Linked DNA regions of Tamandua tetradactyla. The protein of the gene in region 2 interacts with the protein of the main gene of each other region in a biochemical or structural test. Links are inferred from orthologs where the notes say so. Each region holds a gene or a part of one and is shown on either strand. Other genes may lie near its edges. The genes, in order: NFKBIB, CHUK, MAP3K1 and MAP3K14.

Evidence for each region.
Region 1: of the proteins of CHUK (region 2) and NFKBIB, one has a biochemical effect on the other in vitro, tested with the Homo sapiens proteins (2 studies listed by BioGRID). The link is inferred for Tamandua tetradactyla from reciprocal best matches to the Homo sapiens genes CHUK and NFKBIB.
Region 3: of the proteins of CHUK (region 2) and MAP3K1, one has a biochemical effect on the other in vitro, tested with the Homo sapiens proteins (3 studies listed by BioGRID). The link is inferred for Tamandua tetradactyla from reciprocal best matches to the Homo sapiens genes CHUK and MAP3K1.
Region 4: of the proteins of CHUK (region 2) and MAP3K14, one has a biochemical effect on the other in vitro, tested with the Homo sapiens proteins (5 studies listed by BioGRID and IntAct, with this or other methods). The link is inferred for Tamandua tetradactyla from reciprocal best matches to the Homo sapiens genes CHUK and MAP3K14.

The regions. Positions count from the first base shown.
Region 1 is NC_135342.1:25,108,047-25,116,163, reverse strand, and holds the start of NFKBIB (NF-kappa-B inhibitor beta), read left to right. Parts: upstream 1-5,098; 5' UTR 5,099-5,219; coding exon 5,220-5,398; intron 5,399-8,117. Other genes in the region: SIRT2 (NAD-dependent protein deacetylase sirtuin-2), read right to left, coding at 415-528, 749-797, 4,751-4,984. UniProt on the Homo sapiens protein: Inhibits NF-kappa-B by complexing with and trapping it in the cytoplasm.
Region 2 is NC_135339.1:61,763,854-61,771,105, reverse strand, and holds the start of CHUK (inhibitor of nuclear factor kappa-B kinase subunit alpha), read left to right. Parts: upstream 1-4,173; 5' UTR 4,174-4,253; coding exon 4,254-4,358; intron 4,359-7,252. Other genes in the region: CWF19L1 (CWF19-like protein 1), read left to right, coding at 257-354, 2,451-2,595.
Region 3 is NC_135335.1:103,418,149-103,425,228, forward strand, and holds the start of MAP3K1 (mitogen-activated protein kinase kinase kinase 1), read left to right. Parts: upstream 1-3,901; 5' UTR 3,902-3,908; coding exon 3,909-4,384; intron 4,385-4,505; exon of another isoform or gene 4,506-4,693; intron 4,694-4,933; exon of another isoform or gene 4,934-5,003; intron 5,004-7,080. UniProt on the Homo sapiens protein: Component of a protein kinase signal transduction cascade. Activates the ERK and JNK kinase pathways by phosphorylation of MAP2K1 and MAP2K4. May phosphorylate the MAPK8/JNK1 kinase.
Region 4 is NC_135332.1:22,168,778-22,176,280, forward strand, and holds the start of MAP3K14 (mitogen-activated protein kinase kinase kinase 14), read left to right. Parts: upstream 1-4,335; 5' UTR 4,336-4,445; intron 4,446-7,503.

The DNA.
Region 1 (8,117 bases), on a different chromosome or scaffold from region 2:
TTATTTAACCCTGATAAGCCTACGAGGCAGATACTATTATTATCCTCATTCTATGACATGGGCCTGCCTGGTCTATCAGAGACTTCATGATTGACTCAGAGCCAGGTATGTGACCCAAACTGGGCCAATGGGAGTCATTCTCTGCTCTTTGGCTTGAACCACTGGGAATGAGGTGCTCTCTTTCCACCACAGCTGCTGGCCTGCTGGAGCTCTCATTGGAGCTGCCAAGACCTATCATTAGCCCAACACAGAAAAAAAGCAGAGTCAAGAGACAGAGTTAGTTTCTTAGCAACAACATGGAAGCACCTGGATTTCAGGCATGCCTAAAGCTGACCAACACACTCCTTTTTAAATTCAGGTGGGCCTGAAAAATCACCGGTAGGGGTGGAAGCCAAAAGCAGGCAGGGGACTCACAGCGCTCGCTCTGCATGTAGCGGGTCACCCCTTCCAGAGTGAGCTCATCCAGCCGTCGCTCCTTCTCAGTGCCCAGGCCCAGTGTCTGGGAGAAGAAATTCCGCAGGAAGTCCACTGACCAAAAAGAAGAGGTATTCCGGCGGGGCGGGCATTTAGTCAGAGTGCACAGTTGTCCTGAGAACCCCTGCCCCAGCCCTGGGATGCCCTGGGCTCCCCACAACTAAAGTCGTGATGGCCAGCCTGGCCAGGCCTGTTGTTACATACTTTGAATGTCACCCCCCGGTGGAGGTGAGGGGGTGGCACCCAGACCCCTGCCCCCCCAGGAGATACTCACTCTCTGCTTCTCCTCCAGTCGCTCCTTCTTCAGTGTCTGAACCTGACTCCTGGAAGGGGTGGGATGAGGTGGCCAGGCCAAGAGGAGGGTCAGGGAAGGAGACAGGAGGGTAGGGGTGACATCCAGGTTTGGGGAGAAGCTCTGGCTGGGGAGGTGGTCCTCAGGAGGTGAGGGGTGATGCAAGGACAGTGCTGGGGTCAGCATGCAGGCTCTGGGTGGGAAACCTGACCCTGTAGCTCCCTAGTGTATAACTGTGGGCCAGTGGCGTCACGTTTCTGGGTCTCCGTGTGTCTTGTCTCTGAAATGGAGCCCGCCTCAGTGTGGCCAAAAAGAGGGTATGAGCTGACATGGGTGAGGGGCTTAGACCAGCATCCTGGGGGTTAACTGCTTGGGAAATGCTTTGTGGTCATCACCTGCCCCGGTCCTTGCCTCTGTCCTATGTCTGGCCTTCAAGTCAACCTCACCAAAGTCACAGGCCTGTCCTCACCCTGCTGGCCCTGTCACCCTCCTCCTTGAAGCCCTAGATAGCCTCCACTTCTGACCCTTCCCTCTCCTTTATTGACCCCTCCCCTCAGCTCCCAAATAGCTGATCTTTGAGACTCCATCCTGGGCCCTCTTTGCTTTCTTTTCCCCTGCCCACCCCACCCCCATCCCCAGACCACCGCTCTCACCCACACCCATGGCCTAAGCTTAGACACTGAGGACGCCCACCTCTTTGTCTTCAGATCCGGGGGTGCCCTGTGGCCTCCTGGACGCCTGTCTCTGGGTGACCCCCAGGGCCATCACTCCCATGTGTCCCAAACTAGCCTCCGTGTTTCCCCCAAGTCTGTTCCTCCTTTCGAGCCCCTTCTCAGGGCAGCCTCACCGGCCCCCAGGCTCCCCACTAGAATCCTGAGCCTCATCCTGAATGCCTCCCATGCCCTTGCTTTCCCATCACAGCTCATCAGCCCTGCAGATGTCCACTCAGGCTGAATACCCTCCAGCTGCTCCCCCTGTCCTTTCCCATCCAGGCCCTGCCCTGGCCTCCTTCCTGGGCTCTGGGGCTGATTCTCTGCCTCCCATCTACCCTCTCCTTCACAGGCCCTTCGTTGTTTCTCCAGTCTAAGCATCCAACCATGAACAGCTATGGAGTACCCACGATGTTAGCTCCAGGAGAGCAGGGACTTGTCTGCTGTGTTCATCCCTGAATCCCCAGCTCCTGGAACAGGGTCTGGCCTAGCAGAAGCTCTAGAACCATCCACCATTGGACGGGTTGCCTGCGGTCTATTAGCTCAGGGATGGGTTGTGGTCTGACTACCTCACTCTCCTGTTAAAAACCTATCGGACCATTCTCCCCTCCCCCCAACTCACTACCCTGGTTCTGAGCCTTTTTAATAGGACACCCCCACCCCCGTCCAACCATATTTTTACATTTTTATTGTTTTTTAAGATTACACAAGGTTGGCAAAAACATTGAACATTAGAAAATGCACAACTTGGGGTACTGCTTCTCACCCATTGTCCACCAAGATAACTATTAAGCTTCTAATATGAATTGCTCCAGATTTTTTCTCTGTAAATAAAACCTCATTATCTCTACTTTTCTGATATGAGGATAGCACCTTCTTTGGAATGAGAAATCTCCTAATTGCTCAGAACATGTCCCCCTCAACTAATGCCCACCTGTTCAATGACGACCCTACTTGTGCAGGACTGGTTACCTGGGCAGTTGTGAATATCCAGAAGTTCTGCCGATCAGTGTCTCTAGTCTTACCCCGTTAAAAAAATTCATAAGACTTGACCCCTTTCCCCCTCAAATGAATGTATTGGTGGTTAAAAACAAAACAAAAAAACAAAAACCTAATTATCTTCACAGAAATGGGTCCCACCCAGGCAGGCTGCTGCACTCTGCAGTTTTTCACAGAATTAACTCCTGCAGACCCACCTCGTTGGGTTAAGCAGCCATATAGGATTGCATTGTGTGGGTGTGCCAGCCTTCACTTAACCCATCCACTGACAGCCCTTTGGGCCATGTCCAGTTTTGCCCTATTCTAGACAACACTGCAATTTACATCCTTGTGTCTCTCTCTCTGGCACTGAGGGTCCCTTCTTAATAGTAAACCTTTTTCTCTGAGCCACAAGTGACAGTAGCCACACTCTGGAGCTAGGCGATGGAGAAACCCTGGCTTGACAGGAAGCTCTTCTACCCTCACTATCCCTCTGTTGGGCCTTCGTGAGGAACTGTGACACGGCCTCTGCACCGACCTACATCTGAAAAGCATTGGTAGCAGGCTGGGCTCCTTCAGGCTGTAGACAATGAGGCTCTGTGGGAGGATGGCAGGCCCTGTCCAGCTCGTGGGGCAGCCCTGCCTGCAGAGGAGGTGGAGGTGCTGGCTGACGCCCATAAGCTTCTGGAAGGCTGCCCTGACCACCTCCTGCTTAGCACCTATGAGGCAGGGGGCCGGGTGTCTTAGGTTTGGCGTCCCTATTCCTCTAGCCAAGGGATAGGGGACAAGTCGCTTTAACAACTCTCCCTCAAAATGGCAATGACAGGCCTTCCCCCCACAGGGATGTTGGGAAGATTAAATAAGACGATGTACCCAAAACACTAAGCAGAATATCTGCGACAGAGTAAGTACCCAATAAAAAAAATTTTTTTTTTTTTTTTACCATTCCCAGCCATCAAGCTACCCAATACTTTTCTGCCTCCAGGCTTTCCCTCTGCCTGGAACACCATTTCTCATCTTGTCCAGGAAAATTCCAAGTCACTCCTCACTTATTATATTGTGTCGATAACTCAGTCTTACCTAGATCCGTCTGTGGATTTCTCCAAGGAGGGGCCTGGGTGGTTTCTTCTGTGACCCCACAAAGTATATTCTGGCCCCCACAGCACCCTGAGCTACCTCCACAGTCACCCTGGAGGGTTGGTTTCTATCAGGGACCAAATCCCATGCTTGTCTCTTCTGGGCCCAGCACGAATGAGGTTCAGAAGGATTGGTGGGGAGGGGACAGAAAAGAGGTAAGCTTGGAAGGGCAGGCCTGGGACTGAGGCAGTATACCCTTCTTTGGCAGGCCCCACAATCTACCATCCCCCAGGACGCTGCACCTTGGGGTGGGACGAGGGATTGGGGCAGTGAGCTGAGAGCCTAGTGTGGGATAGTGGGAACAAATCCATCTCTCTCCTTCCCTCCAGTCCACCCTTTCCCCCCATCTCACCTGAGCCTCCTGCACCTTCCCTGTCTGGGTCTCCAGAGGGTCAGAGGCTGGGGGAGGAGGGGGAGCAGACGTGGTTACAGTGGAGGGAATGGTTAAGGTGGAATGAAAGGGTTCAAAGTGGGAGTGGGGGCTAGGAAGACCTAATTATACTAGTGAGGGGAGTGGTAAAAACCGAATAGAGGTAGGGAAGGGAAAAGCAGATCTTAAGGAGAAGCTGGAGAGGGGAAGGGTTTGGAGGAGAGAGAGGAGAAAGGAAGGGATAAAGGGTTTGGAGGAAGTCTCAGGAGTAGTTAGGAAAGCATAATAGTGTGTGTAGGGGCAGAGGGAAGTTTAGAAAGGAGGAGAGGAGATAGGAAGGGATACCCTGCTGGGAGCCGGGTTTGGAAGAGGAGGTGCCGGGATAGGGATGGGTGGTTGGTGGCAAGTTAAGGAGAGGCACAGGTACTTGAGGCAAGAGATAGAAGGGGACACCAGGGGATCCCCTGGCATCCTACAACCAGGTACCCTTAGCAACCAGGACGGCGGCAACCCACGTCCTTAGTAACGAGGGTCTTTAGCAACCGAAGTGCGAGAAACATGCGATTATTAGCAATTTGGGGCACTAGGCAAATGGGCCCTTAAAACTCTCGCGACCCAGACACTCATTAATCAAACACCACGGATCACTTAGCAACGGCCCCTCAAATCCCACTGCCCCCACGCTGCCCGATCTCCTGCCCCACCGCGCCTGCTCTCGGGCCCCGGGGCCTGCAGCCTGCTGTCAGGCCCCGACGCGGCCCGATCCTCCCACCCGGGCCCCTGACTCACGGTCCGGCTCGGCCATGGGCGCGGGACCGGGGCCCTCGGGGCTGTCACCGACCTCTCTGCCCCGTGACGGCACCGGAAACGGGAGGGGCAGTGAGGAGGCAAAGGACTACAACTCCCAGAAGCCACGACCACCGCATACGAGTGATTAGCACAACGCCGCGAGCGTTTCTCTTCGGATAAGGGAGATGAGAGGGCCGGACTACAAGTTCCAGAGGGCCTGGCGTCGGCAGCCATGTTGGTAAAGGGCGCCCGGAAAATGTGGGAATGGGTCGAAAGCTGTAGTACAATAGGACGTTCTGATTGGTCTTGGAGCGGAATGGGGCGGGGAGAGAGAGCTTTGACCCACTCTGATTGGGCAAAGTAGGGGGAGTGTTGGGGAATTCCCCGCAGGGCGGAAGGGTTAGGATCCAGGCAGAGCCCAGCAGTAGCCTGGCTGGGTGCCGCGGGGGACTCCGGAGGCTGCGGGGCTATGGCCGGGGTCGCGTGCCTGGGGAAAGCTGCAGACGCGGATGAGTGGTGTGACAGTGGTCTGGGCTCACTGGGCCCGGACGCAGCAGCCCCCGGAGGACCAGGGTTGGGTCCGGAGTTGGGCCCGGGGCTGTCGTGGGCTCCCCTCGTCTTCGGCTACGTCACTGAAGATGGGGACACGTGAGTGAATCTTAGACTCCCAAGTCTAGCCCAAAGATCAGTTTAACCTGATTCTCCTATGGTGTCTGATCCCGGCTCCCTAACCTCTTACCACTAAATCTGACCTCTAAGCCTTGACTTCCTGACCTCTAACCCCCAAGTCCTAACCTTTGATAACATCAATCTCTTACTCAACTTTGATTCTAACACATTTCTGACTCTCCTTTCTTGAATCTGATTCTCAGCTCCTGGAATCCACATCCCTTCCCATTGATCTGAAAACCGGATTTGAACGTTTTGACTCCAGTCCTGAGACGTTTGTTAGAACTCTGACTCCAGCTCCTCCTGATCTCCAACCTCCAAGATGATCTTTGATCCTTAGCTGGTGACTTATGAGCCTTATACTTTGATTTCTGAAAGTAATATTTGGCCTCTGTTTCTAAGATCCTGCCTTCTGAGCACTAATTTCAAATCTTACATTTAAAGAGAGAATATAGGGTCCCTGAGAACACGGATTCATCCCTTCAACAATTATTCATTGAACTGTTTGTTTTAGGCGCTGGAGTTAAAACAATGAAGACAATAGACAGATATATGACCTTGTGGAACATACATTCTAGTAGGGGTAGACAAATGGACAGAAGGAAAGACAGAAAGGAGAGAAAGAAAGACAGGAAGTAAGAGGCAGAGAGAGAAAAAGAAAGAGAGAGAGAGAGAGAGAGAGAAATGAAACAAATAGCAGGGAAGAAGAGCATTCCAGCAGAAGGAACCACAAGGGAGTGTACCTAGGGATTTTTGTCTGTTACATTTATTGCTTCCCCAGTGACCCAAACAATGCCTGATACTTGGTGGGCACTTCATAAATATTGATCTTATCAAAGAATCAGCTCTTGGTTTCATTAATTTTCTCTATTGTTTTAATGCTCTTTTGTTGATTTCTGTTCTCATTATTATTATTCTATTGGCTTACTTTGGATTTAATCAGCTCTTTTTCTAGTTTCTTAAAATATAAGCTGAGGCCATTGATTTGAGACTTTTCTTCTTTGCTATTATGGGCATATAACACTATATATTTCCTCCTATGTATTGCTTTAGCAAGATCTCACAAATTCTGATATGTTGTGTTCTCATTTTTATTCAATATTCTTTCTAGTTTCTCTTGATATCCTCTTTCACCCATGGATTATTTAAAAGTATGCCATTTCGTTTCCAAACATTTGGGAGATTTTCCAGCTATCTTTCTCATTTTTATTCAATATTCTTTCTAGTTTCTCTTGATATCCTCTTTCACCCATGGATTATTTAAAAGTATGTCATTTCGTTTCCAAACATTTGGGAGATTTTCCAGCTATCTTTCTCTTGAGTTTTTTTAATTCCATGTAGGCAGAGAATATATTTAGCATGAATTAAATCCTTTAAAATTTGTTGAGACTCAGAATGGCCCAGAATATGGTCTAGCTTGGTAATTGTTGTGTATGCACTTGAGAAGAATGTGTACATTGTGTTGTTACTGGGTGAAGTGTTCTCTAAATGTCAGTTAGGCCAAATTGGTTTATAGGGTTGTTGAAGTCGACTAATCCTTGCTAGTTTTCTGTCCACTCAGTCTACCAGTTATAGAGAGAGGAATATTGAATCCCCAAGTATAATTGGGCCTTTGTCTATTTCTTCTTTTAGTTTTCTCAGTTTTTGCTTTGTGTATTTTGAAGTTCTGTTATTAGGGGAACAAAGATTTAGATTGTTAAGTCTTCTTGTCTAATTGACCCCTTTACCATTATAAAATTACCTTCTTTAGCCTTGTAATAGTCTCTGCTTTGAAATCTACTTTGATATTAAATATTTATTTCAACTTTCTTTTGACTAGTGTAGCATGGAATATCTTTTTCATCATTTTATTTTTAACTTATTTGTGTCTTTATATTTAAAGGGCATTTCTTGTAGGCAACATATAGTTGGGTTTTGCTTTTTTATTCAATCTGACAATTCTGCCTTTTAATTAAGGTGTTTAAACACTTTAAATTTAATGTAAACTGTTGATATGGTTATGTTCAAATTGATCATCTTTCTGTTTCGTCCCACCGGTTCTATGTTTCCTGTTCCCTCTTTTTTCTGCTTTCTTCTGGAATACCTGAGTATTTTGTAACTCAACTTTATTTCCTTTGTTGGCTTTTTAGCTATAACTTTTTGTTGTTGTTGTTGTTATTTTAGTGGTTGCTTTAAGGCAGGGGATGCCATACTATGACCCGTAAGCAAAATCCAGCCAGCCTCCTGTATGGCTGTAAGCTAAGAATGGTTTTTACATTTTTTGTTGTTGTTTTCTGTTTTGTTTTTTTGGCATGGGCAAGCACCGGGAATCGGACCTGGGTTTCAGCATGGCAGGCAAGAACTCTGCCACTGCACCAGCATGGCCTGCCTGTTTTTCACATTTTTAAATGGCTAAAAAATATTCAGATATTTTGTGACGAGTGAAAATGATATGAAATTCAAATTTCAGTGTCTATCAATAAAGTTTTATTGGAACATAGCCATGCTCACTGATTTACATTTTATTTATAGCTGCCTTTGTGTCACAACAGCAGAGTTGAATAGTCAGGATAGAGACCATGTGGTTCAGAGAGCCTCAAATATTTGCTATCTGGACCGTTACAGAAAGTTTGCTGGGCAGGCCACGGTGGCTTAGCAGGCAGAGTTCTCGCCTGCCATGCCGGAGACCCAGGTTTGATTCCCTGTGCCTGCCCATGTC
Region 2 (7,252 bases):
GGCATTTCAGCCAAGTCCTAGTGCTTTTCGGGGAAGAGAAGGTAATTAAAAATTTCCTAAGGTGGGTATTTAGGAGACTGTGTGCCATGGGGAGGATCTTGGTAATATCTACCAATTTCGCTTTTTAAAATCTGGTTCCCCAAGTGACTTGGTATCTGTAAACTACTTGTATCTTTTCTTTTTTTGTGGGTTTTTAGACTGAATTTTTGCTAAATTATAGTTTATACTATAACTCATGCAACTCTGTTTACTTTAGATTGCACAGCCAGGAGCAGCATATTTTTATGTTGAACTTGACACAGGAGAGAAGCTTTTTCACAGAATTAAAAAGAATTTTCCTTTACAGTTTGGAAGGTTTGTTTGCTTCTCTTCTTTTAAATGTAATTTTACTAGATCTAATATGAACAATGTAGTGAGATGCATGGACAATTAACACAAAGATAAATAAGGAATAGTACTTGCCCTAAGAAATATATAGACTTAGGGCAAGTCAGATGTTACCATGTGTGACAGTAATTAATGCAGAATATGAGAATGTTTTGGGGAACAATGAAAAAGTTTTGGAGAACAATGTACTTTAGAAATTTAGAGAAGAGAGAGCTCATTTGTACTTGATGGAAGTCTTCATGAAAGGATTAAAGTTGAACCTGAGAGATAGATTTAGAGGACAAAGATTTGGGTGAGGACACTCCAGCCAGGCATAGAAAATTGCTCCATTAATTGAGCATATGCTCTGTGTAGGTTCTGTGCCAGGAACTGTACATGTATTGTCTCAATTTCATGCATTGTCCCTGAATTTCTAAAGTAAATTGTCTTCTAAAACTTTTTCATTGTTCCCTAAAACATTTTCACATTCTGCATTAATTACTGTCACACATGTTAACATCTGACTTGCCCCAAACCATGAGGTCTTAACATCATTATTCTCTATTGTCCTAAAGATCTTGATGAGGCTTCATTTCTGCTCCTAATATTAGGTAGTACGTAACTGAAAAACCACATACAGGGTGATAAAAATTAAGCCAAGACTGAAGACGGAGACGTTGGCAAGAAGAGACAGAGGATAGAGGAGAATAGAAAATGTGCAGAACAGATTATCTAAAGCTGGTGTCTCATTTGTAGCTGTTTTTTACCCCTAGTTAGAACTGGGCTTTAAGTGAATCTTGAACCAGTTTTGAACTGATGTAGAATGTGCCCAAGAGATTGCCACTATTCAATAAGTCTAGTAAATGTAATTGTCTGCATTTTCAAAAAGACATTATCTTTTTGTTTTTACCTCAGCAACAAGAAGATGTGGACACTGACTTTGCAGGCTCATGATTCACAGACACACAGGCACATAAAGCCCACAAAAGGGAGATTTTCCAAATGGTTTTGTGCTCATGATGGTTGTATTTTCAACATTTAGTATTTTTCAGAGTACTAATTTACAGTTATGTGGCATTTTATAGGTAAGAAAATAACTTAGAAAGATATCATTTTCCCAACTATACAATAAAGACAATATTCTCTCTGTTTAACAGATGAAGTAGCTCAGAGGTTTGCCTAAGGAAACAGAACTTGAGCTCCAGTTCTTTGACTTAGAGGAATTCTGTGATTTGAATTCAATTTTTCTACTTATTGTAGCTTCAGAGTAGAATATTGGCCATATAAATGCACAAATAGAGTTATTTCTACTATATCAAAGTGAGTAAAAATAAATACAAATAAAAACGCTGGCATTAGAAGGCAGCTTGTGTGTAGTGTGTCCGCATATAGTAACTTTCAGTCCTGAGGGTCAAGATAAGTTGTTTGGTTGATAGTGAGCTTGTGTAGTTTTGCCTGTGTTGGCCTGAATTCTGTGGAAGGAGAGGCAGAAGAATTTCAAGACAGAGAGGGTATGACACTTGGTATCTCACTTTACTAGGCCCTTATGGTCTAGTTGGGATGACAGACTAGAGTTTAACTTGTAGTCACAGCTATTGTGGAGGTTTGACTGTTATTCCTACACCTTATAAAAACCCTGTAAGGTAGGTGATATTATTCTCATTTCATAGGTGAGGAGGTAAAAACTCAGAGATAGAGTAATTTGTCTAAGTAACAGACCACAGGTGGCAGAGCTAGGAATGGAATCAAGTCTCTGATCTTTCTGACTCCAGTGTCTGCCCTCCTTCTACTGTGTCATGTTGTTTCTCAAAGTATTAACAGTATAATTCAAAATTGTTCAATAGAGGAAGAAGTTAGTGGGGTACAGAGCATTAAGAAACAGGTGGGACCTGAACTGGTCATTTAAGTTGGTATGATGTTGATAGGATGGCAAAGATGGCACTAAGAACAGGAAAATGGTACAAGCAGAGGAATTTGCATACCTTCTTTGGGTAACACTGAGGAGTTGTCTGATTGGAGAGGAACAGAGGGAGGAGGGGGATTTCCAGCTGATGCTGTCCTTTTGACTTTAATTCTTTCTTCAGGGAGGTCCTGGCCAGTGAAGCCATCCTTAATATTCCTGACAAGTCTGACTGGAGGCAGTGTCAGATCAGCAGGGAAGAGGAGGAGAACCTAGCTCGCTGTTTCCGGAAAGAGTTTGAGCCCTTTGACTTCACTCTGGATGACTAACCAAATGGAAAGATTTTTTATGAGCTTCACAGATAGTAGCAGCAGCCTGTTTTTAAAGAAACTACATATACCTATGGGGACTTTTTCCCACCCTCTTTTTCATGCATTCCTATGGAACCTGCCTGCAGTAAGAGGCCTAGGACTGAATATATTTTGGAAAAGTCACATTCATGAAAACCCTATATTAAAAGTATGTCTGTCATCCAGTTCCAAATACAGCCTGGTTTTAACAAAATTTTCAAAAACATTGAAACCATCAAATAAAATTCATAAACTTTTCCATTGTTGACAGGTGTTTTGTGTTCATGTTACTTGTGACTACTGAAATGAGGTGGTGTGTGTAATAGGAGGTATCAAGGCTTTAGGTGTAGTTGTTATCTCAGAATCACACAGGGTGGCCTCTCCTTGAGAAAGCCAGAGTACAGAAGAGATCTAAGATCCTTAACATTTTTTCTCATAGCATTCATTTTGATGTACAAAAGTTCATTCAGTCCTTCAGCAATTATTTCCTCCTATGAGCCAGGTATTTTTTAGGCTCCGGGAGTATAGCCATGTCCCAACATGGTCCCTGTTGTCTCAGAGTTTACATCTAATTGGAGGAGGAGGGGGCAGATTTAAGAAAAGAAGATGAATTCTGCTTTGGCTATGTTGAGATTGAGATGCCTGAGAGATCTAACAGATGTGGCATCTGTTGTTGGGTAGATCTAAACTCATGGACATCTAGATTGGTGGTGATAGGGATTTGGGGATCATAAAGATATAGGCCATTGATGAAATTATGAAAATGAGTGAAGAAAATTCTAAGCTGAGGATGGCTACCTGAGAAATTAATATTTAAGGAGTAGCCTGGAGATAGAGTGGTCCAACAAGTGCACAGAGAAGGAGCACAGAGATCCCTGGGGAATGCCATATTTTGAAAGCCAAAAGAAAAGTAATTGTTCCTATATAATTGGGCACTTATGATCCAGATAGTAAATTTTACTTAATGCTCACGAAACCTCCAAGAGGTAGGTATCATTACCTCTATTTTACTCACGAATAAGCTGAGACTCATACACTTGAGCCCAGAATCGACAAGCCTAGATGAAACAAACTGGAGCTCTGCAGGTCTCTGACAAACGGGACGCTTACGGGAGTGAACTATGAAGGCTAGTGCATCAATGTGCTTGTTTGCGCAGGATTCTTTCGATTTCTTCAGATTCCTCAATATTTAAATAGCTGGTGGCCTTTGCCAGTGCCGGTTCAGTGGGCGGTGGGGTTGAAGGATAAATGGAGCAGCCTGAGAAAAGGTGATGTGAGACAGGGCGGGAGGCAATCTGAAGTTTGGAAAAGAAAAATATATAAGAGAATGGTTTGAATGGAATGTATAATCTGGACAGAGCTTATATTTTCATGACTGGAAAAAAACCCCACAGGATCCTCTAGGTTAGAAAAATGATTACAGCATTCCCAAGAGTGGATTTGGAGGTCTTCCTGGCTTCTCCACCCTTTAACCGCTAGGATTCTGGCCGGCACCCGGAGAATTTGGGGCGGGGCTTTGCTGAGACAGTTCCCGGAAGTGACGCATACATCTCGCGAGAAGAAAAACGCGCGACCCTCGGCGGCCCGGAACCGGCCTGGGAGCAGCGGTTAAGTTAGGTTGCTTCCCCTCCCGCCCCATGGAGCGGCCCCCAGGGCTGCGGCCGGGCGCGGGCGGGCCCTGGGAGATGCGGGAGCGCCTGGGTACCGGCGGTTTCGGGAACGTCTGCCTATACCAGCATCGGGTGAGGCCGGGCGCGAGAGGGTGCGGTGGTGGGTGTTTGTCTGAAACGCAGTGACTGTCAATATATGTGAGACTTGGACAGTGTTGGAGAGCCAGTGGGTCATAGCGTGCGTGTGTGTGATACCGTGCTTGTGAATCCGAAGTTGTGTCTGTAGGAACACGTTGAGAGTGGTCCTGGGTCATTGTGAGAGTGAGCTATTAGGGAGGATTTTTGGTATGTATCAAGGTATTTAGATATTTAGATCTTTTTGTAGACGTGGAGCGTCAGGGTGTGTGGAGCAGGTGTACAGAGTTAATGTATGTGAGCACGAATGGATGAGAAAACGGGGATAAAGGAATGGGGGCTGCCTGTTGGAATGTGTTTTTACCTGTGTGTTCTTGGAGGCCAAGGATATTAGTAGGGGCTGGAGCAGAGAAGGATTCATGGTGGGTCCAAGAGTTAAGCCTTTGGAAGCATGGGTAGGCTTTGGAATAGGACATACATTCCAGGTTGCTTGTGTGAGGACGAGCTGGTGAAAATGATCATGACTTCAAAGGGAAGGAAATAAGATTGGGGAGGGAGGAAGGATTTCAGTTTGTGGAGGACAGCTAATATCGGACCCAGGAATTTTACTTTGAGTTAATTGAAGATGTTTAACCATTGTAGCAGCAGTTAATAATCGTGTTTGAGTCATGTATCTTTTCAGATACCAATAAAAGCTATGAACCCTTACCCCCAGAAAAACGCACAGGCATATCTACACGACCTTGGGTATCTTATGCATTTGCTATTTGAGGGGGCTTACAGTCTCCTGAAGCATATTAGCAGACCTCTTAGGTATATAGACTTTGGGTTAATAATTCCAGCAATGTGGCCTTTGTTTTGACATCTGTAAGATGGGTATAATATACATATTTCATGGGTCTGTTTGAGAGTTAAATAAAATAATAATGTATGTAAAGCTAAGTATACTGTTTCTGGCCCATGATAAGCTCGCAAATATTAGCTGTTGCTGCTATATCACTGTTGCTGTTATCATCTTCATCCTCATTAATTGGTTTTAAAAATGGAAATGTAAGGTAAAAGTGGTGTTCTAAGAAGATTATTTTGTAAATAATGAATTTGAATGGAAAAACATGGGGCAAGATGAACAGTTAGAAAATATTAAAATGCCTGTATTTGGCCTGTGAATGAATAAGGTTATTAAAAAAAAGAAATTATGATTTGCTGTTTTAAGGAACATAGGAGTGGGTAGAGGTCATAATGTGGGTAGGCAGAAGGGGAAATGGGAGTCTACCTGGGGGACGGTAGGCATGTTTGTGGGGCAGAGTGACAAATGTCACTAACAGAACGAAGTTTTGTGAAGCAGATTTCTAGATAGAGCATAGGAGGAAATCTTGGAAAGAGGGCAAATGGAAGGTAAAAGCCTAAGGCATTAAGTACTTTGAAGCCAATGAAGTAATAAGTTTAGTAATTCTCACCGGGAAGGTGTGTGTGGAGGTGGGGGGGGGGGCGGTACTTAAGACAGTCAAAACAAAGAACCAAAGTGCTTTTAGTGGAATGTTGCCTATAGTCTTGTTATCTAAGCCTCCCCATCAACCGATCATAAGAGAGGAAGCATATATGGTGATAGGATTTTGTGACTGCTTCTCCTGGTCTCTGTTTGGGGCTGAATGAACTTATCACTTTTTAAATGGAAGAGACTTGGGTTCCTCTAAAATCTTAGAAATTTCCTGTTGTACATAGAGACCCTTTTCCCAAAATGAGGACATTTGATAGCTGAGCATATATTGAGGAGAGAAGGAATACTCTGTCATAAGACTTGGAAACAGCATCATTCTTTTTCCAAACCTGACTTGGGGTTTACATTTACAGTTTTCGAGATATTCATACGTTTGGTGGAAGCCATGACCCAGTATTTCATCTATACCCTTTAAAGCACAATAAAGAAAATAATGTGAAATGTATTATTTAGCTGATGACATTACTGGTTGCTGGTGAAACCTAAATCTGCAAAAACAGTATTCCTTGCCCTCAAGAACATCTCAGGTCCAGTGGAAGAGATAGGCAGGAAAACAATTAAAATACAATGTGATAATCTATAACAAAGGTATTTGCAAAGTGATATTGAAGCATGGCCATAGTAACTGAAGCATTCTTTCTGGGGAAGAGGGTGGCACGTCTCAAAATGTGTTTGGGAAAACTAATCCCATGAAATACTTTCAAAAAGGATATGATGGCCAAATGCATTTGGTAAATGTTGCGTATACTATTCCTTCATTTGGAGATTCATAACCCATGTTACCATAGTAAGAGCTCTAAGAAATCCTGTAGTAAAGAAACCAATTTTATTTAGTAACTTTTCCAAATGTATTTGAACACAGAACTGGTTTTGTTTTATTTATTTATTTATTTTTGCTGAACATCTATACACTTCCCACCAAACACTCTTTGTGAAGTGGTTGAGTGGGAAAGGCCTGCACAGAGTAAGTGACATAAGAAGTTAAAAGATCTTCTGGGGTGAGACGTTTTTGAAGCAGATTACTTCCTGCCTCATTCTCACTGGAATTTAGGGTTTAACATTGTTCATGGTTGTACCAGATTGTGTTTATGGTGGTGGTCTAGCTTGCTAGCTGCCGGAATGCAATATACCAGAAACAGAATGGCTTTTAAAAAGGGGAATTTAATAAGTTGCTATTTTACAATTCTAAGGCCAAGAAAATGTCCCAATTTAAACAAGTCTATAGAAATGTCCAGTCTAAGGCATCCAGGGAAAGATACCTTGGTTCAAGAAGGCCAATGAGGTTCAGGGTTTCTCTCTCAAGTGGAAGGGCACATGGTGAACACAGAGTTTCTCTCTCATCTGGAAACACACATGGTGAACACAGCATCATCTGCTATCTTCTTCTCCTGGC
Region 3 (7,080 bases), on a different chromosome or scaffold from region 2:
ACATGCAAACAAATGCAATATGTTTAAATGGTTGGTTATGAAAATGGAAACATAAAATAGCTTAAATATTCTACTTTCATTTAAAACATATAAATAATAGAGTTTTGTTTGGGGTTGGTTTGGGACTTTTTGCCAGTATTTGACTGCTTAGTGTTCCACACATCTTTCTCATGCTTACAATGTTCAGTTTTACTTTCTTTGACACCAAATGAGAAGTGATAGTTACTTACAAAGTAAATTATTCTGAAGCTGAGAACTTTTTTCCAACCTTCTACAATCATCACACCCACAACTAATTTGATAGATTTGTTTTCAGTGACTTGCCTTCATTCACTCTTTCGAAGCATTCAACTTAAGTTTTTGTTGGAACAACTTTCTTTTGGCACTCATCTACCCATGCTTATTAATAATCAATTTCCTAAAATTTAATTAAATTTCATAAGGACAGTTATAATAGGCTAATCAGGTTTGGGAGCAAATACAAGTGGTTCCTGCAGGGCCCATGACTCACCAGGTGGAAGCAGATGTGGGCAGGTGCATACCAGCCACTGGCCATGGACATTCATTGGGCCCTGTCACCCCTCAGCAGGTTGTACATAAGGATGATGGGTGTGTGTTAATGAATGCGTCAGCTAAGGGGAGGCTGGCTGACTTTGTACTATAATGTCACCTACAATGCCCTTCTGGGGGGACTGGTTATCTACAGATGACAAGATTTCAGGACTCAGAACATCTAGAAACACCTGGGAAGTATGGTGTCTAGAAAGAGCATAGAGAAACTAAGTCCCAGCCCTACTCTGCAAGCATTTCCTAGTAAGTATTTTTTTTTTTTTTTGGTATGGGCTAGCACCGGGAATCGAACCCAGGTCTCCGGCATGGCAGGAGAGAATCTGCCTGCTAAGCCACTGTGGCCTGCCCCCAGTAAGTATTTATAAAGCATGGCAGAACACCAGCTTTTGCCCTACTCTCAAGTTTACATTCTTACTCTTATGCCTTCCTAAGACATAGATCTCTCAAACAGAGGCATGAATACATATGTACATATTGGTAGATCTGACTTTATTAGAGTCAGCCTAATAACCACAAGAGAAAACTCTTTGTATATTTGTAGTACGTGCTTAATAAATATATGATGAACAATGTACAGTCTGCACTATTTCTGCCACTGCATATTAAGTCTGTTCATTTCAACATCAGAGATATTTGTGCACAACGAGGAAACGCACAAACATTAAACTAGATCCTGCAAATGAATGTGATGTAGGAACTGAAGTGCGTCTTAGGTGATTCCCAGAAGCACTAGAAGCAGTGATCTGTAAAGCACTGCGTAAAGGTTACAAAAATTGTTGTGACATAAACGAAACCACTGCAAGGTTTGTATCCTTGAGTGAGGATGGAAATAGTAACTGGAATATTCAGCTCCAGAAGCAATCTTTGAAGTCTCCTTAATGTCATTAAAGAAATCAAATTAAAGCAACTCAGAGTGTACAGAATAGCTTGATAACTGACCTATATCTCTGTGCAGTAATATAGAGATCCAACAAACACAGAAGCTACAGTCTTACCCATACTTAAAACTCAGAAACCATGTTAACAATTCTACGCAGTTAAATTCTCAAAGAAGATGTTGTATTTAACGTATGGCTTTTCAGTCATGCAGGTCCTTTGATTGTTTTTCTCTCTTTAAAAAGAAAAAAAAGTCAGCTTGTCAGTGTGGATGCCTAACGGCAACCAGAATATTTACATAAAAGATTAAGAGTAAAATGATTCAAAACACCAAAAACTTGGGACAGACCATCAGTCAGGTTTCTTGTTAGGGGTGAGATGGGGAGTGTTTGGTGTGCGGTAGATTGAGATGGTCAGAGAAAGTAACTAGCGTTGCATGTGGTACCCCTCTGCTTTGGTCACAAGGACATATAAAGAGCAAAGGTAAATGTTTTGCTGGAGTCCAGTTTTACCTTTGCAACTGTGCCTAAACTTCAAAATTGGGACAATTTTGAAAGGCTTCACATTTCCACTCAATTTTCTCACTTACCTGAGGATGTGTGTGTGTAAATTTAAAGGTTTTTAGATCTAAATAGGAATGTGGAAAGTTTATCCTTTTCAATTTAGGAGTTAGTGGGTGTGGCAATCCCGGAAGACCTGGGAAATAACTACTGTTTGGGTTGAATGATACACTTGGCTACCATTAAAACAGCATATAATTATAGCCTAAATGTAGACTTGAAATTTTAACAGATTTATCCAAACTTTCAAAATTTGTACCGTTGGACGTAACTACCTAAAACTCTTATGGCAGCTGGTGTAGCACCATTCAAGACACCGAGCTAATATAAAATCAGTACCCTTAAAAAATTCGGCTCCGATATCACATTTATACCTGGAAAGAGGGCTTTCATTGTATGTATTCTCAAGAATTCAAAGGAATTATTACCTAGACAGCTCAGGCTTTTGTCTAAGTATGTTTAGACTAACAAGAAAGTTCTCTTTCTGCATGACACTCCCCCCAAGCAAGCAAGCAAGCAAGCAAGCAAACAAGCAAGCGCGCGCGCACACACACACACACACACACACACACACACACGTCAGGTCAGGTCTGTTTAATTTTTCACAAAACAAATCTTAGGGGCACTCCTTCTGTCTTCTGGGAGATTTCCCAATACAGAGAAACCGTCTTAAGGAAAAGAAGGGAGAGAAGAAAAACAAAACAACTCTACCGAGCTTTTCGAAAAAACATGAACATGTAAACGGTGATTTTTCCATCCCAGGGCACCGTATCGCAGGGATTCTCCTGGGGGTTGGAGTGGTTCAAACGCCGCTGCTGACACCGCCAGGCCAGGGGGTGGGGGGAGGAACGCGCTCCGTCCCCCGACCCCGCGAGTAAGAGGGCCGCGCAGCGAGGGGCCCCCGGGGGGCGGGGAGGGCCGGGGCCAGGCTGAGGACCGCGTTGTCGAGCACTTCCTGGCACAGCGCTAGTTCCTTCTCCAAACGTGCTCTACGTGGTCCTGTACTCGCCTGCCTCTCCCAGCGACTGAGCCGAGGGAAAAAACAAAGATCCGTAGGGAACCTGCCCTTCCGCGTCCAACCGGGTTGGGGATGTCTCAAATCAGTGATTTCAGGATGTGAACAAGGTATTCCAGAAAACTTTGAAGTTTTGCTCTTTATGGTCTACGAGTGGTGGGGGACACAAAAAAGGAAAAATGTTTTTTAAAAACGCAACTTAATACTGTCATGGTCTGCGGCTGCACGTCCGCTGAACGCTGGTTTTCTTTCGCCGTGCAGCAGGCGACAGCCCTGGCGCCACCTGCACGGCCCGTACCGGGCGGGAGGAGGGGCGGGGGGAGCTGCGCTCGAGTGCCCCGACGCCCACTGCAAAGGACAGCGCGAATGACAGAGTGCAAGCCCTCTTCCCTGCGTCCTCTTCAACGCACCACAAGCCCAGGTTCACACTAAGTATTTATTTCGGGCGCTGCAGCCGCTGTCGGACGAGCTCCGAACCAGCCAGCGGGATACTGCGGCGGAGATGACACGGCGCGACAGCGCCGCCGAAACCCCTCCTCTCGCCGGTGCTCCCGGGGACTACCTGGCGGCGCGGCGGGCGCAGCGCTTAGAGCCTACAGCGCCCCCGCTGTAGTCAGCGCCCAGCCCACCTCGCCCCGGCCGCGCACAGCTCACGCCCTCCAATCTGCAGCGCCGCCGCCGGCCCGCCCTCCGCCTCGTCGGCAGGCAGGACCCCGCGCTGCAGCCGGCCCAGGCCACCGGCAGAACGCCCGGCGGGCCGCGCTCACGCAGTTGGCGTAGGCGGCCTACGCTGGCGGCGCAGTGCCCGCCCGTCCGCCCGCCCCCCGCGCTCTCCCCGCCCCCTCCCTCCCTCGCAGGGGCCCAGCGAATGTAGCCCGCGAGAGAAAATGGCGGCGGCGGCGGGGAATCGCGCCTCGTCGTCGGGATTCCCGGGAGCCGGGGCGGCGAGCCCCGAGGCGGGCGGCGGCGGGGGTGCCCTCAAGTCGAGTAGCGGGCCCGCGGCGGCCGCGGGGCTCCTGCGGGAGGCGGGCAGCGGGGGCCGCGAGCGGGCGGACTGGCGGCGGCGGCAGCTGCGCAAAGTGCGGAGCGTGGAGCTGGATCAGCTACCGGACCCGCCGCTCTTCCTCGCCGCCTCTCCGCCGTCCTCTTCCCCGTCGCCGGAGCCCGCAGACGCCGCGGCGAGCGGGAGCAACTTCCATCCTGAGGCAGTGCCGCCGCCCCACGGAGCCTCGAACCGCGGCGGCGCCCACCCTGCGGAGCCGGCGGCCGCGCCGGACAGCGGCGCCCCGAACCCCGCGGGGGCCGAGTCGGGGGAGAAGCGGGCACCCGCCGCCGAGCCGCCTCCTGCAGCGGTCCCCACCGGGTGAGCAGCGCGGCGGGGGGCACGGCGGAGACTTGCGGGACGAGTGGAGGGCAATGAATGAATCCCGGACGCGGTGCACGGCGTCCCCGGGGCTCGGCGCAGGGAGGGTGCAAGCCTCTGGCCGCGACCTGAGGTCTCTCCGCCCCCGGGCATACACCCCCTGACCCCTCCGGCGTCGGGCGAGGCGCCCTGGACCCGGCCTGGGGAACTGGACAGGGGCCCGGGGCGGGGACGTGCTGGAGAGTTTGTTATTGTTTGCGGACATGTGACAGGCGTGCGAGCTGCACTGCAGGCACCCGTGGCGATAAGGTGTGGGGGTCCCGGCTTTCTCTGCGGGTCTCCGGGAACTGGGGCGCTCGGAGGAGCCCGGGGCGTGAGCCCCCGCGCTGCACTCGGGGTGTTTCGAGTCCCGGGCCCAGGGGGGCGGGGAGCTGCCCGGCGGCGGTGGCCCCAGACTGGTGTCCCGGGGTGAGGTCGGAGCCTTCGGGCGGGCGGAAAAGGGGCGGGGTAGGTGGGGAGCGGCGCCGGGGGCTCGAGTGCCGAGGCAGGTACCGCGGGTCGGGCCGGGCCGGGGGCGGCGTGCTTCCGAGCACCGGCCGCAGGGGACTCCCGGTGTCCGGTGGGTAATGCCTGTCAAAACTCGCAGGACTTGCAGTCTCTCCTGGCTTTTTTCTGATTGCGTCCCCCAAGGGCTCCGAGTGTTCTTGGGAACGCGAACTGTCCGGGAAGACGTGAGTGACTTCTGTTTGCAGTTTGCATTTGGCCTTTGAAGTTTACATTTGGCTGAGTGGTGTAAGAGCCGGGACCGGATGTGTCAGCCATTCAGTTTCCAAGCGGTGGTGACTGCACGCCGCAGCCCCTCGGGCGAGGTTCGGGAACCGCGGCGCGGTTGCGGCGCTTCCAGCTCTGTGCAGCTGCGCGGGCCGCCCGCCGACTGCCGAATTCCTGGGGTCACAGTACTGGGAGCTTCGGCTCAGATAAGACCCGTGGTGCATTTGAAGTACGATGTATGTAACATAGTTCAGACGAGCGGTTCATGGCCTGACCCCCCCCCCCCCTTTTTTTTTGGGGCAACTGGAAATTTTTATGTTAAAGGAAATACACTAAGTGTGACAGCCTTCATTCCTGTTTTTGAAAAAGATCTGACCAGTGTCTGCAGAGCACAGAGTCTTGGTGGGGTATTTCGAGTTGCTGCAAATGTTTTTGTGAAAGTCACCCGTTGCCCTGTAGAGAAGTACCAGACCCGTACTATGAGTCGTGTGAAGTTCTGCAGGAGTGTCTGTAATAGATTTGTATTTCTTGTGAGATGAGTTTAACAGTAGGAACCTTTAGTTTGGGTTGATTTTCTAATGTGATTTGGCGCTTTTTTGTGAGCTTGATTATTTAAAATCGCCGTTCGTTTATTATTTGCAAGCGCTTTCCCCGCCCCCACCCCCAAAAAAGAACTAAATTTTAAAATATGCCCAGGACTGTTTCATGTCTAGATTGGAAGAAGGGAGATTTGTGTGCACTTGTACATGTAACTCAATCAGAGTTTTATTCCTCTGCAGTTTCCTGTTCCATGCAGATTGCACTAAAACTTAACTGGGATAATTCTTTGAAGACAAATTGTTACCACCAATGTATTCCAGATAAAAATTGTAAACTTGAGAAATTAATTTTATTTCTTCTCATGAGACTTAACTCTTTGGATACGGTAATTCTTTAGTAATTACTTGACATTCTACTATTGAATTGTGAATACAGTATTAGAGTAACCTTTGTGAAAATAATATACAGAGGTTGTTTAGTGTAGTTCCTTGACTCAAAATAAGAGGACTAAGGTAGAGACAGAACTGAGGGACTGAGTAGTCCATGCTTAATTTTTATGTTTTACAACCTAAGCTTTTTCCTGTCTTTGTTAAGGGGTGAATTAAAATTTGCAGTCTGTGCTACACTGGAGTAGTTAGTATAATCTTTTTTTTAAAAATGATTTCATTAACCATAATGCTATTTGTTCATCCCAAATGTCATCTCTAAATATTTTATTTATGGTAAAATAGTGATTCTCTGTCCTTTTAAAATGCATTGATTTTTCCAATTTCCTTGGTGATGGGATTGAAATTCACTTGGTTTGCTTGGACATAAGCACTCTAATTATAAGCAGAGTAATGAAATTTCAGTTGAACTTTACATTATACTTTTTGACAGTAGTTGCATTCGTATTTTCAGGAGGAAAATCTAATGTTGAGATTTTGAAATATTTTTATTTGAGAAGAGCCCCTCTGTCTGAAGGCCTGATGTATTTTTTTAAAGGAGAATTTTGTAATTTTGATTTCAGAATTTTCTTTAGTTTCTGATCTTGGATGTAGATTCAAAGTTGTAGAAAATACATTTGTGAGCTATAAATGGAAATTTTTAAATCTTCTTCATAGTAAAAACTGAAATCAGTAAAAGTTTTGTGCCTGTAAGTGGCGCCCAAGGGTTTGAAATTTTTCCTTTTATTACCGAATTAGGGGCTTTTTCTTCCCATGTACTGTCTTTGAAGAAAAATTACAGTGTTATTCTCCATTGAACAGGTTATTGTGAGTTTAGTAGATATAATGACTCCATCCTATTTTTGTAACTTAAAAAAAGCAGGCTATCAATTTACTGGCCCCATGAAAGAACAAGATATGCTGTACTTATTAATGTTAGTTTTTGTTTAAAACTAAAGA
Region 4 (7,503 bases), on a different chromosome or scaffold from region 2:
TGCTTCTCTGAAAATGTCTGCAGTCAGTTATAATTCAGAGCTTCATCTTCAGCCATAAAAGAAAAAAAAGGGACTTTAAATGAGAAGTAAGACAAGTATATAGATTATGTTCTACTCTGGTAAAACTGTAAAGGTAGGACAGGGTCAAAGACCACAACTGATAGTGCTCTTTTGGACGTCTTCAAGTGGAATTTATACAACTACCTCCTTCTATAGGATATGAACATGTCCTTGTTATTGTATATCTATTTTCTGGATGGATAAAGGCTTTTCCTTGTCACAAAGCTGCAGCCCTCACAGTAGATAGAAACCATTAGACTTTATTTTCTCCACCTGGGGAATTTCTGCTATTCTCTCAAGGGATAGAGGCTCCCAATTTACTGAACTTTAATCAAGGAACCAAAAGCTTCACTGTCCCTAACATATTAATTGTCAGGAAAAGTAGAATGAAAAAAATGGTACCATAAAAATTAAATTAGCTAAATTATTTGAATCCTTCCCTCTACCACGGCCTAGGGATCTTTCTTTAGCCTTGATGGCCATAAGGTCTAGCCCACCAGGAGAAGACTGGCTAACCCCCTATGAACTCATAATGGGAAGACCCATGAGGCTTATTATTTCTCCTACTTTACTGATTCCAATCTAAATATTTCACATTTACATTGTGAAGTTGCTAATTATTGTAAGGAATGAATCTCATATACTCAGTTCCACCATTCACAGATCTAGGCTGCCTTTCCCAAGATTCCTCAATATTGAACTCTACATGATCTTTAACCCGGAGGCTTGATATACTGGGATAAACATCAACAAAGAGTGCCTTAGACCTCAGAGAGAAAGGACCTTTTCAAGTCTTATTGACCACAACTACAGCCATAAAACTACAGCAGTATAACTGACCCTTGGGTCCACATGTCACAACTAAAACGAGCTCCAAGCCCTTGGAAGATTAATCCCATTTCTGACCTCAAGCTAAAATTGACACACAGATTCCAGAAACAGACAGCATTTGACACAGACAGATTCTGCCCAAGACATTGGAACAAGTAGATGGTGCCCTAGAACACACCTGAATTTTATTGTATTCTCTGTCTCTTCCTTTTCACTATCTGTCTAAATGTTCTCTTATTCATCCTACATTCCTTACAATGCCCAATATCCATCCCCAATAATACCCTACCTTCATCATGATTTTACTCTATTTCTCCCCTAGGTACACCTGCCTTGAGCACAATTCCTTTGTTCTTCTAGCACACCATATAGCAAAGGAAACCAATCAGGGTAACTGCTGGATCTGTACACATCCCCCACTTAGTCCCCAAATAAGTATTCCTCTAATAACCATCCCCCTTACACTTGCAGACTTGGTCTGACAGGAAACATCTGATACCCAGTCAAAGAGATTATTTTTGGGGAATGACTCGGGGTTGTTCCTTAAGAGCCCCTGAGACTGGGATTACCATGCGGCTTCTCTAACCCAAAGAATATGTTTTTACTAGAAAGCAGACAGACAAAAATGGCCATTTTGTAGGGATAGTATATGTTCAGTTTCTATGTGACAAGACTCCTTTTACTTTTATGAGCCAAGAGTACAATGTTGGGGCCAGTTTTCTGATACCAGTTTTCTCCAAGCACCCCAAGGTTTTAATAGCATAAGAACTTATTCCACTCAAGGCACAAATATTTCTGGTAGGCTGAAAAGCCAGGCGAGGGAAATCGTTGATTAATTGTGACTAAGATATCAGGTAACAATGAAGACGATGTTGGATTAAGATTCTCTTTTTGGTGTTTACACCCAGTTAGCTCTACACAACAATGTTCCATTCATTAAAGGCAATAGATATACCCTTATTAAACTCTTCGAGGACACTATTTTGTATGTAGACAAAAATACTACCTGTAAATTGGGTTAGTTCTTGTAATGCAACTTATGCTTTTCCCCAAATGACTACTAATGATAAGCTTTCAAAAGGGAAAATTAGAGACAAGAGTGCTCTTATGGTCTCTTCCAATACTATAGAAACTTATGAAGAGAATATTGCCAACTGGATCATAGAAAAACCCACTAGCCCAGGCTAACCTCATGGAGTGTTTTGTTCTTGGTACTGTCCCCCTTGTCATTAGGGAAGCCATCTCCTATATGGAAGATACACTAACCAATTACAGTTGGTAATAGAAAAGGTAGCTTTAGAGTTAGAAAAATCTATCTCCCACCCAGGGCAGGCATCAGCTCACTAACTGGCAAAGTATTGGAACTTTGAAAATGACAAAAGGAGTCATTTTGTCTATAAATTTAGAGGAGTCATTCCTCTACAAGGAAGTGTGTGCACTAGTGGGCACACAGTGCTTTGTATTTGTAAATGACAGTCAAAAGGAAGTTTACTAAGAGGTAGTAACAACAGAAGCCCTTGCTTGAGAAGTGTCAGTTTACACACCTCCTGAATCTGATTGGTCTGAGTCTCTTTTTGGTTGGATTCTAGGGTCATGGGGATCTTGGCTCAGAGATATTCTAATAAGGGCACTTGTCATCCTTTTAATCATATTTATAATATCCCTCATTTGTTGTCTGATTTCTGTCCTCTTAAATGCTGCTGCACAGTCACTAACTTGACAACTGATAACTGAGGATTCAAAACCACTCTGAATGGGATGAACAAAAATCTTGAACTTCAGCTAACCTATGAAAACAATAATGAAACACAAGGCTTCAAGTGGCAAATAAGAGACTAACAACATCTTTGGTAAAGCCTTTGAAACAGAGGGAATGACCATAAGAAGGAAAATTAATAAAATTATATAAAGACAGCTCTGGGGACCCTTCAGAGCCCCCAAACCCCGTGCGTTACTTCCTCTTTGAACTCTCTCTTGACTTTCCCCACCAAGGCAGCTGACCCAGATAACCAATCGATACCCCATTTTATTTGATCCAATACAAAAGGAAGCCTACCTGATCTAAACCTACCCCTATAAGACAGACAAACCCTAGTCCAATCAACAGGAGTCAAGCTATTTTTTTTTAATGTCTATAAAAATCGTTTGCCATCCCGAGAACCCAGAAACTATTTCGCTTCTTACAAGTTATCTGGCTTCTGCTGCTGCAGCAAAACTTTTGATGTCCCAAACAAAATGCCGCAATTTGCAAACTTGACCCCGTTTGTCTTTCGACAATGCCCTTCCCTACTGCCCCAAAGCAGAAATATTTGTCGGGTGCAGATGTCCAGAAAGAGACCTTGAACGACCAAGGACTGTCTTAAAAGTGATCCTGTGGGCAGGTAACCGTGGCTCAGTGGCAGAATTCTTCGCCTGCCATGCCAGTGACCCTGGTTCATTTCCGGAGCTTGCCCATGCCAAAAATAAAAAATAAACGATCCTGAACAGAAGGTGGCCTGGCCACAGTTCCAGAGATGGGGTGCTCTTTGCCTCTCAAAACAGACAGCCTTTGATGGGGCCGGTTCATCTCATCACTAGAATCAGTTACCATACCTGTCCTGAATGCCCTGATGGGGATGGGGTGTCCAGGGTAAGGGCGCATTTTTTATTTTGCAAACTTTTCAAAATAAATTTTTATTTCTGTTCCATAACCACTAAATCCAGCGAGAGGATGCTTGGTGCAGTCTCTAACCTCAATGTTTCTCTGGCTGTGCATCGCACACTCTTATTACAGGCCTCGGTGTCTACACACAGGCCTGACCTGTGTAGGCCCTTGGCTCCCTAAGCTTCTCGAGGCAAGCACTGCAACCTGCTTTCCTCTTCTTTAGGGACTCAACAGCGCCAGACACACAGCAAGCGCTCAATAAAAGTGTTTTTAATCCCATCACCACCTCCTTCAGCCGCCACCGCCCAGCAGCAAAGAGGAAGCAGAACTAGACCCAGGAGGGGGAGCGCCTCGCCGTCTCCAAGGTAACCCAAGTCAGAGACTGGGAGTGCCCGCGCACGCGCACATTCGCCCTTCCTTCCCGTAACCTCAAGAAAGCAAGCGGTAAAAACTGCCAGAAGCCGAGCGCGCATGTGTAGTTACACCAACCACCTCGACCGCCTCCGCCTTCTGTCAGTCTGTTCGCCCTACAATCTCTTTTCTATAAACTGTCCGGAAAGATTGCCCTTTTCTGGAAACTGGGCCTCGAGAACCAATCGTCGCTAGAGGGGCGGGCCGACAGGGGCGGGCCTAGGAGAGCACTGGGGCCGTCTCATTGGTTAGTGTGGGGGGGTGGGCGGAGCCAAGGATCACGTTGAGGCCCGAGAAAGCAGGCTCCAAGCGAGGCAAAGTTGGAGCCGCCGGGGGAGGCGTGGCCGCGGGGGCGACCGGGAAGGTGGTGAGGGGGCGGGTCCCGAAGCCGGGGCGGGGCGACAGTGCTCCGGGAGGGCAGCCGGCGGCCACCCGCGACGGGAGATCGCGGGAGAGGGGAGCGCGACACTTGCTGGCTGGGGAGATCGGCGCTCGGCCGGTAGGTGACTGAGCGGGACCCCGGGGTCGGCATTGAGAGAGTGGCGGGGACGAGTTGCCCCCCCGGTCCCTGAGCCGGTCGCGGCCTGGCCGGCTGCCCAGGAGCGGTGGGGGTCGGCGGCTCGACCCGGGCCCTAGCCAGACCCACCCGCGCGCGGACCCTCGGTCCTCGCGACCCGCCGCCAAACGCCGCGCGCCCTCACACGCGCTGCCGGTGCCACGGTCGCACGCCTTGCCCGCCCCGGGCCTCCAGGCCGCACTCTCGCAGGCCACACGCTTGCCTGAAGCGCGCGCAGAGGTGCTTTGCTTCCCCTTCCCCAGCACCCCCCGCCACTGCGCCCAGATGTCCCACAGCCAGGCCGCACCCCTCCTGCGCGGTTCCCTGCGCGTCCCCCAGGAGTGGGGCTCACCCCGGCACGGGACGGAAGGTGTTTTCTGCAGAAGTGCGCCTGGTGGGTGCACCTCCCACCTGGCCTTCGCTGGCAAGTTTTTGGGTCACACTCCGAGGCTAGGAGAAGGACCCAAGCCTGCCCTCGGCACCCAGAGGGGCACTGCTGGTCATGGCAGCATCCTCCCTCCTTTCTGGCCCCAGCTCTGCTCTGTAATTCTTCTGTCCTCTCCACTCAGGACATCTTATCTGTCGGCTCTGATTAATATTCCCTTCTTGGAAGCCCATCGTGGTCCTGGCAACTTGCAGCAGCTGGGCACCAGGCAGAGAGTGGCGACTTGTACAGTGCAGAGAGTCCCACCGCCCAGGAGCCTCCTTGGTGCTTGGAAACTTCAGAAAAGTGTCTCCGTCCTAGCTGAGGTTTAAATGTTGCTTTTAACCCTAAAGGGGTGATTTGGAGAATATTGAGTGGTTGTGGGGAAGGGAGGCTCAATGGAGAAAAGATAGAGAAATCAGCCGTGAAAGTGACAAAATGCTTTTTGGTAACTGGAGACAAAGAACACCCGTGACTTGATCTAAAATCAAGTGAAATTAAATATGAGAGTGGGGCCATGACACAAACTAGCAGTCTGAAGTTTATTCCAGGAAAAATGTTGAAAACCCCTTGACTAGAAACGTGGTAAATCTTTCTGAAAGATTACAGGAAGATAGTATCTTAACAGTTGTGCTATGTTTTTTTTTACTTTACTAAGTATCTTCATACCTGTAATCTCCCTTTTCCTTCAGACATATGTGTGAAAAAATAGAATGATCCTGTTTTATAGGTGAGGTGGGGGGAATGGGGTATTATATTTTTTGCCTGATACCTCAAAGGCATCATAGCTAAGACTGAGGGTGGAAACCTGAGCCTGGATCTCTTGAGTCTTCCCAGGCTCCTTCCCCTGGACCAGGACAACATAATAGGAATCAGATGCAAGAAAGAGGAACAAGTTTTTGGTGTGGTGTTTATTATCTCAACATCAGAGGACATTTAAGAGGTGCTTGTCTTGATTAGAATGTGTTTAGATTTACTCTTGTGTTTTTTAGGTGATTGTTAAAGTCAGTTACTTTGGTTTGGTGTGCCAGACTTCTAAGCTTTTCAGACACCTTTAGGACATATTCTTTGTTTTTTTGAAGGATGTGATGAACTTTACAGAAGATCTCAAAATAAAAGTAACAGTTTCTAACTTTAATTTTAGAAATAAGTACCCAGGTATATGTTCCAGTACCTTTGTGAAATCAGACAGCAAGAAACTACAAAGCTTGGAGTCATCTTCGGACTATTTTCAGATTACAGGGAGCAATTCTGAAGGGGGTTTTTCACTCATGGTATTGTCTGTTAGAGTTTGTGGGAGCAGCACCAGAGAGACCCTGCCAAACGGGCCTTCATCTATTAAACAAAACTGTCTGGTTGGGCCGTTTATCTGAACAGATGGAGATTTGGTTCCTCATTTTGATTCTCCTGTTGAACACTGACTCCTTTGTAATCTACTTGGAGTGTTTATCATTTAATGTTGAGAAGTGGGCTTGCCCTCATTAGTTGTTCAACCCTAGACAATTGTTGTGATTTTGTGTGTGTGTATGTATGTGTGTGTGTGTGTGTGATAACAGTTCATCCCTGGCCAGAGTCTCGTGAGAGCTCTGTAGAGCTGTGAAAGAGGTGAAGCTTCATCCAGGATTGTTTTCTTTGTTGTTGGCACCCTCTTATAAGTGTTCTATAACTTTGGCCTGTGAAGTCCCTTTTAATTTCCTTTTTTTTTTTTTCCTGTTTCAATGGACGGCACATGGGCTTTCTTAACAATGCTGCCTGCCTTGATGAGGAGCTGACAAATTCACATTTATTGGCCTGAGAGATGGTCTTTCTGGGGGGAAAGTTCAGAAAGTCTAAAAACCAAATTTAGTCCTATATAAAAAGTATAAATCAGCTTGATACACAAACAGGCAGCATTTTTCTACCAATGGCTTCCATCATCTCAAAGCTGTTTTTTTTTTCCTGGCAAAAGGTTAAAATGCAACTAAAATTCTGCTTTCATGATTAATAAGTCACTACCGCAGTTTTGTCTGATGCTTCCTGTTTGCACCATTTTAGCATTTCAGTTAAACTGGAAACATCTGAGCATTATGGGCACTTTTGATGGCACCAGAGTGAAATTGGTGGGGAGAGGAGGAAATCCATGCCAGTGAATTTGGGAAACTGTAAGGAGAAGCCAGCCACTCCAGCCTCTGCACGCTGAGAGCTCTTGTAACAGAAAGGATTAGAGGTTGAGCATCTTCAAGGGGCAGAGTAAGCATTTAGAGTGACGCCCGTGTAAAGGCTGCTGACTGAAATTTTGAAAGCCTTCGATTAGAAATGGAAGGCCAGGCATAGGGCAAATTGTGTAGGCTAACATTTCAGTTGAGCTGAGCAGAACATTGAAGTGTGTTGAATATGGGTCTTTAGTTCTGGGCTCATCTTCTTACCTGAGTGCCAATGCTGAGAAAAGAAATTTTTCATTAGTGCCTGTGCTTCTTTCTTTGTAGTTTAGTTTAAAGGGCCCTCTTCCTTCTTGCTATTTTATATCCTCTAGTTATTTATCCTCCCAGTATAAATCCCTTGAAATTCTATGACACCAAAAGTAACGGCACTTTATAG